Mus musculus: one gene and its partner. The protein of the gene in region 1 interacts with the protein of each later gene in a pairwise test. Links are inferred from orthologs where the notes say so. Each region holds a gene or a part of one and is shown in the gene's direction. Other genes may lie near its edges.

The links. The genes of interacting proteins can lie anywhere in the genome.
Region 2: the proteins of Trim32 (region 1) and Ptcd2 interact in binary tests that used the Homo sapiens proteins (3 or more experiments, as listed by UniProt). The two-hybrid records come from large-scale screens. The link is inferred for Mus musculus from reciprocal best matches to the Homo sapiens genes TRIM32 and PTCD2.

Annotation. Positions count from the first base shown.
Region 1 is NC_000070.6:65,611,444-65,615,093, forward strand, and holds part of Trim32 (E3 ubiquitin-protein ligase TRIM32), read left to right. Parts: intron 1-1,685; 5' UTR 1,686-1,764; coding exon 1,765-3,650. UniProt on the Homo sapiens protein: E3 ubiquitin ligase that plays a role in various biological processes including neural stem cell differentiation, innate immunity, inflammatory resonse and autophagy.
Region 2 is NC_000079.6:99,320,656-99,324,305, reverse strand, and holds part of Ptcd2 (pentatricopeptide repeat-containing protein 2, mitochondrial), read left to right. Parts: intron 1-2,631; coding exon 2,632-2,745; intron 2,746-3,650. UniProt on the Homo sapiens protein: Involved in mitochondrial RNA maturation and mitochondrial respiratory chain function.

The DNA of each region.
Region 1 (3,650 bases):
GTCCTAGAGCAGAGTCGAGAGCACTCTTTAATAAATAACTGAAAGACATTTAAAAAAAAAAAAAGAAAACTTGGAAGTAATGTTGGGGTAAAAATAAGTCAAAGTACTATGTTTGACCGCTGAGACCTTGAGCTCGTTTTTTCAAAACTTCAATGCTCTCATTGCCAAAGTGGGACAGTAAAATTCTTACCACGTTTCCACAATGAGGATTAAGCGAGAATAAGCATGCACAGTATTGTGTATCACATAGTAGGTACTAGGATACCAGAGCAATTTTCTGCCTATAGAGGGACGTCCTAGAGGTAAATGTGACCCCTTCCCTTCACACACACACACACACACACACACACACACACACACACACACACACACACACACACATACACAGAGTCCTTTTCATCCTTAAGCATACCAGTTCCTTGCTGCTAAGCGCTTGCTTGCCCTAGCATACCCTTCACAAAGAATGTCCCACGTTACTTGCACATGAAAGTCACTTTGTCCTTAAGCTCTCTAATCATCCTCAAATGGTTAGATCTCTGTGCATCTCCTAGCCCCTGCTCTGTTTTCCTACAGTTTTCACATAAGGCTAAGAGGGAACCGAAGTTCACTAAGGACCTTTCTGGTGCAGATGTGATCCTTCGGTAAACCCAGGAAAGGATATGCTGTCTCCATTTTACAGATGCAGAATTTTAGATAGACCAAGCGTCCCCTGTTCTTCGTCCCAATTGACAGAACTCTGTGCTTGCCATCTGCTTTCTCGGCTGTATTCAGGCTATGCCCTCCGCCTAGTGTTTCGTTCTCCCGTCTCATTTCTGTGCCCTTGCAGGCTGAAATGAGTGCTCCAGCCTCTCCGAAATTCCATTTTTCTTTAAGTAAAAATGAGTCTACTTTCCTATCTATCAGAATGGGTCTGCCTTGATTCCTAACTTACATACTCGCCTTGCTAAAGCAGAGCAGGCTGGGTATGCTGAAATGTAATGTCTTGGTTCTTTCTGATGCCTAGACTGCTATGGGTGGCTAGGTTGGAAGATGAACAAATGAAAAATGTGTAACACGCCCCACCCCCCGCCCCCCATCTGATGGTTTGCAGGTTGCTTAAAGGCAATCATCAGAATTTTCTCTCTGAGTGAAACATCAGAGGCCATCAACTGTGATGGAATGAAAAGGCTTGGACCCCAAACTTACACAGTGTTCTTTGCGTACAGTTCCTGTATGTGTCATCGCCTCTAAGATTTGTAAGACTTCTCTTACAAGGAGCACCATTTATGAGTAGCCTTACCCAGTTGTCAGGCTCCATCCCTCTTCCCACTGTACCTCACAGTGTAGACCTTCATGTGACATTCTCTGATCGGCAGGGTTATTCTCTGCTTTCCTGCTTGTATGTCATATTATTTAACCCTTCCAGTAATGGTATAAGATAGGCAATTTAGGCTCTTCCCTGAATTCCTCCATAACATAATGCATTAATCATTTGTGTGTGTGTGTGTGTGTGTGTGTGTGTGTGTGTATGTAAGGGGAGGGGGGTGGGAGAGACACTATTTCCTAAGTCATAATCACTGCAATAAAATGCTTATAAATAAGTAAATGATTCAATGGATGATTATAGCTATTCTCTAAGTGTTTCTAGACTGAAATAACTTATATGGGAGTAGAAAAATGAATAATGGTTTGTTTTTTCTCTTTAGCAGGAATCTGACACTGGGGCATGAATATTAAGCTGTGTGGCTCTAAGCTGTGTTAGCAGGAACCTTCACTGGAAGAGCAATGGCTGCGGCTGCAGCAGCTTCTCACCTGAACCTGGATGCCCTCCGGGAAGTGCTAGAATGTCCCATCTGCATGGAGTCCTTCACTGAAGAGCAGCTGCGACCCAAGCTGCTGCACTGTGGCCATACCATCTGCCGCCAGTGTCTGGAGAAGCTCCTGGCCAGCAGCATCAATGGCGTCCGCTGCCCCTTTTGCAGCAAGATTACTCGCATCACCAGCCTGACCCAGCTGACCGACAACCTGACGGTGCTGAAGATCATTGACACAGCTGGGCTCAGTGAGGCCGTCGGCCTGCTCATGTGCCGAGGCTGTGGCCGGCGGCTGCCTCGGCAGTTCTGCCGAAGCTGTGGTGTGGTGTTGTGTGAACCCTGCCGGGAGGCAGATCACCAACCCCCTGGCCACTGCACACTTCCGGTCAAGGAGGCAGCTGAGGAGCGGCGGAGGGACTTCGGGGAGAAGTTGACTCGTCTAAGGGAACTTACTGGAGAGCTGCAGAGGAGGAAGGCAGCCTTGGAGGGCGTCTCCAGGGATCTTCAGGCAAGGTATAAGGCTGTTCTTCAAGAATATGGCCATGAGGAACGCCGCATCCAGGAAGAGCTAGCCCGCTCTCGGAAGTTCTTCACAGGCTCCTTGGCTGAGGTTGAGAAGTCCAACAGTCAAGTGGTAGAGGAGCAGAGCTACCTACTCAACATTGCTGAGGTGCAGGCCGTGTCTCGCTGTGACTACTTTCTAGCGAAGATCAAGCAAGCTGATGTAGCCCTCCTGGAGGAGACAGCGGATGAGGAGGAGCCCGAGCTCACTGCCAGCCTACCCCGGGAGCTTACCCTGCAAGATGTGGAGCTCCTTAAGGTAGGACACGTTGGTCCTCTGCAAATTGGCCAGGCTGTTAAGAAGCCCCGGACAGTTAACATGGAAGATTCCTGGGCAGGGGAGGAGGGAGCAGCATCTTCTGCCTCAGCCTCGGTAACCTTTAGAGAGATGGACATGAGCCCTGAGGAAGTAGCTCCCAGCCCTAGGGCTTCCCCCGCGAAACAGCGGAGTTCTGAGGCAGCTTCCGGTATCCAGCAGTGTCTGTTTCTCAAGAAGATGGGGGCGAAAGGCAGCACTCCCGGCATGTTCAATCTTCCAGTCAGTCTCTATGTGACCAGTCAGAGTGAGGTGCTGGTTGCCGACCGGGGCAACTATCGTATCCAAGTGTTCAACCGCAAAGGCTTTTTGAAGGAGATCCGCCGCAGCCCCAGCGGCATTGATAGCTTCGTGCTAAGCTTCCTTGGAGCCGACTTGCCCAATCTCACTCCACTTTCAGTGGCCATGAACTGCCATGGGCTGATTGGTGTCACTGATAGCTACGACAACTCCCTTAAAGTCTATACCATGGATGGCCACTGTGTGGCCTGTCACAGGAGCCAGCTGAGCAAACCATGGGGCATCACAGCCCTACCATCTGGCCAGTTTGTGGTGACTGACGTGGAAGGCGGGAAGCTCTGGTGTTTCACTGTAGACCGAGGAGCAGGAGTGGTCAAATACAGCTGCCTCTGCAGTGCTGTGAGGCCCAAGTTTGTCACCTGTGATGCTGAAGGCACAGTCTACTTCACCCAAGGCTTGGGGCTCAATGTGGAAAACCGACAGAATGAACACCACCTGGAGGGTGGCTTCTCCATCGGTTCTGTTGGCCCCGATGGGCAGCTGGGCCGGCAAATCAGCCACTTCTTCTCTGAGAATGAAGATTTCCGCTGCATCGCTGGCATGTGTGTAGATGCTCGGGGCGACCTCATTGTGGCAGATAGCAGCCGCAAGGAAATTCTCCATTTTCCCAAGGGCGGTGGCTACAGCGTCCTTATTCGAGAGGGCCTTACCTGTCCAGTGGGCATCGCCCTCACACCCAA
Region 2 (3,650 bases), on another chromosome or scaffold:
AATCCCACTTGGAAACTCCAGATGTCCAATCTGAGTTCCTCATGTTGCATTATAAACCTGCTTCACCATCCTCCTGGGTTGATAAGGAAGAGACAGCTGACATTCACTGGGGAGGCTTGGCTTGCTCTTTTGAATGACAAACTGGCCTCAGCTTTCCCAAGGTTGTCACCTCCTTGGAATCTGTAAACAGTTTGTTAGCCTGACAAAAGGCTGTCCAGAGAGAGCGCAGTCAGTATCAGCAAATACAGATGGGGGCTCTCTTTTGTTTGGTCTGTTTTAAAAATGGGTGTGTTATATTACAATATGTTGCTTCTAATCCCTGAATTAGAGTTTGAACTTACATAACCCACCCACCCCCAACAGAATTTTATATCTGACTTGCATCTGCTGCCTCTATGACCCAGAGGGCCTGGTTCCTTATTTTCCCAGCTGGTACTTGCCACATCCTGCATTAATTTAGCCTATGATCTCATCGGGACACACGCATGTTCACTCCCCTGTCAGTCTCAAGAGAACCACAGGCCTTCTGAGCAATGCCACTTGACATCACAGATGAGTTCCCACTGCAGATACATCTGAAAGCCGCGAGGCCAGGGTGGGGCACTCTGTGATTGCATTTGGATATCTATCATCTCTCCAGAAAGCTGGCACACGACTTTAGAGACTCATTTGGAAGACAGTTTACCTTGCAGAGGTGCTGACAAGTGGCTAGCCTGCCCACTGCACTCGTGTGTGTGCTAAGACAGGTTAGGCCTTTAATACCGTGAAGTTCTTGGGGACCAAAATAGCCCTCCCCCGATGAGCTGCTTGGCTTGAGGTTTGCTTCTGTCTCTCAGGAGTCTGTTTATTGGAGGCTTGACCCTTACTGTGGTGGGAATGAGGTAGGAGACCTCTAAGAGGCAGCGCCTACATGAGGCTCCCTCCTTATGTGAGGAGCGGTTGGCAGTTAATGGTGTTTGGAAGAGGCAGAGGCTCTTCTCTTGAGGAAGTGTAGCCAGTGACATATTATATAAGCCACATACTTGTAGAAAGGCGTGTTGGGAAGAGGCAGGGTTCCAGAGGGAGTGGTAGGGGAGAAGGGAATGGAAGGCTCGACGTGGCCAAGAGTCATTATATACATGTGTGAGATATTTAGAGGGTGGCACCGAGGTCACAGGGGTGTGCTCTCAGGAGGGAGGAAGCCTTGCCAGGCCCCACCATCTGCCCTATACGGGCTTGAACACCTTCCCGAGCCGAGCTCAGGCTAGCTCCATGGCCTGCACCTCCAGCACCTTCCCGAGCCGAGCTCAGGCTAGCTCCATGGCCTGAACCTCCAGCACCTTCCCGAGCCGAGCTCAGGCTAGCTCCATGGCCTGCACCTCCAGCACCTTCCCGAGCCGAGCTCAGGCTAGCTCCATGGCCTGCACTCCAGCACCTTCCCGAGCCGAGCTCAGGCTAGCTCCATGGCCTGCACCTCCAGCACCTTCCCGAGCCGAGCTCAGGCTAGCTCCATGGCCTGCACTCCAGCACCTTCCCGAGCCGAGCTCAGGCTAGCTCCATGGCCTGCACCTCCAGCACCTTCCCGAGCCGAGCTCAGACTAGCTCCATGGCCTGCACCTCCAGCACCTTCCCGAGCCGAGCTCAGGCTAGCTCCATGGCCTGCACCTCCAGCACTTGGAGTGAATGAGCTTCCCCCCTTCTGAAGCATCGGTTCTGTTACGACAGTAAAGATGCAAATATCCCAGCACACAGGCAAGACTGAAGAAGGGGGAAACAAAATGGCTAGTGTAGGGTGGAAGGGTAACACTGCCTCTCACAAGGACCCCGGCTTCAAAAGCGGTTATTCCTTTTGCTTTAATAATTTCATCAAGTCCAAGAAATTGCCAGGTTTTTATTTTAATGTACACATCAGTCATATAAAACAACATGGTTTATTTCCATGATTAATTGCTATGCATTCATTCAATATGATGTTTTTTTCCAATTATTTCTTGTGTTACACATTATTTAGTAGCTGACAAAGGAAAGATCCAATTTTACAGAAAATACATTTTGAAGATAACATCAAATTATAAACAGTGATTAACATTGGTTGATGAATTCTCAGTTATTCTCATTTTTAAAACCTTTTCTCCTGTGTCTCACATTGTCCTAGTGAGTACTGATAATTACAGGTGAAATGAGCCTTGCTTTTCCATGTGCTGTGTGTGTCGGGCTGATAGGAATTCGTTAGCAATGTCATTTTGAAAACTTGGTGCCTAGTTTTGAAGGGTCTTTAATGGGTACAGTGTAAGTAGGCTTCACTGAGACATCAGCCAGGGTTTAAAGTTGGGGTATTTATTTTGTTTTCTTGTGTGTGTGTGTGTGTGTGTGTGTGTGTGTGTGTGTGTGTGTTTTCTTTTGTGGAATTCAGGAATCAAACTCAAGACTGGTGTATGAAGCACCTCTGATATGAGCTTCCTCTCTAGTCCCACTATGGCGATGTCATTATCTATATTAAAGTACATTTTGGCTGATGAGTGTACATGCAAAGCACTTAAAAAACATGTATATGCTAACGAATTAGGGAATAGTATTTAAAAGGGGTGCCTGTCAGCTCAGGCGTACCTCAGCATTGAAATGCCAGCTCAGTCTTCTCTGGTTTTTATTCAGATCTTGATCCACATCCAGTCAAATATGTTGGAAAGCCTGTTAAAGATCTTAGAGGACTCTCTTGACACAAATTTATCGAAATTTGTAAGAAGACACACATTCTCAGAGGAAGTGGTAAGTGTGCCAACGCTGCAGGTGACACCGAGTGCAAGCTCACGTGCTCACCTGGTGTTCCGGTCCCGAGACCACCTGTGCAGCAAGAGGCCAGACACAGCAGTCTCTCTTGCGTGGCTTTTGGACTTCTCAGGTCCCTCCCATGTTGCTCTCTCCCTGTACTATTCTATAGGTCCCTTCCCTCCTCTGAATAATGACTTCACACCTTTTCAGTTTTCTCTCAAGTATCCATACCTTTCCCTTGCTCCTCGCTCTCAGGTAACCCTTGCTTCCTTTGGTGGGAGGAAATAGAAGCAAACTGAAGAAAGCGACTAGCACACTATCAGCCATTCAGATTTTGAGCTGACCCATTTTTGCAGGGTTAGTGATGGACCTGAGGCTGCTGTTGAGAGCTCTGGTCCATATAATAGACCTGTCAGTGGCCTCCTTGGCATGTCCACCCCAATGTTTCACCTCCAGAATAGAATTATGGATCGTTCATCCAATTTTGGATCTCCCTCTCCTCCCCATAACACTCCCTCTCAGTGTCCATCGTCACGTTGCTAAGACCCAAGTTAGGAGGGTGACATTGATCCCCTTCCTTCAGCTCCTTAGAGGGAGTCCTTCACTGTCACCCCACAGTGTGCCCCATGTGCAGTCACCTCCGCATCTCCTGTGCTTCTCCCAGTCCCAGTCACCGTTTGTTCTCTGGGCTTATTCTCTGTGCAGCTTGTGAAGTCTCCATCAGACAGTCACCCTCGCCATCCCTGTGGCTTTTAGGTGAATCCCAAGCACCATTCTGTGCACTGCGTGAAGCCCTGTATAACCTACCCCACTCACTGCCCTTGCTCTCTGTGTAACCTGTCCCACCTATTGCCCTTACTCCCTGTATAACCTGCCCCACCCACCGCCCTTACTCCCTGTAT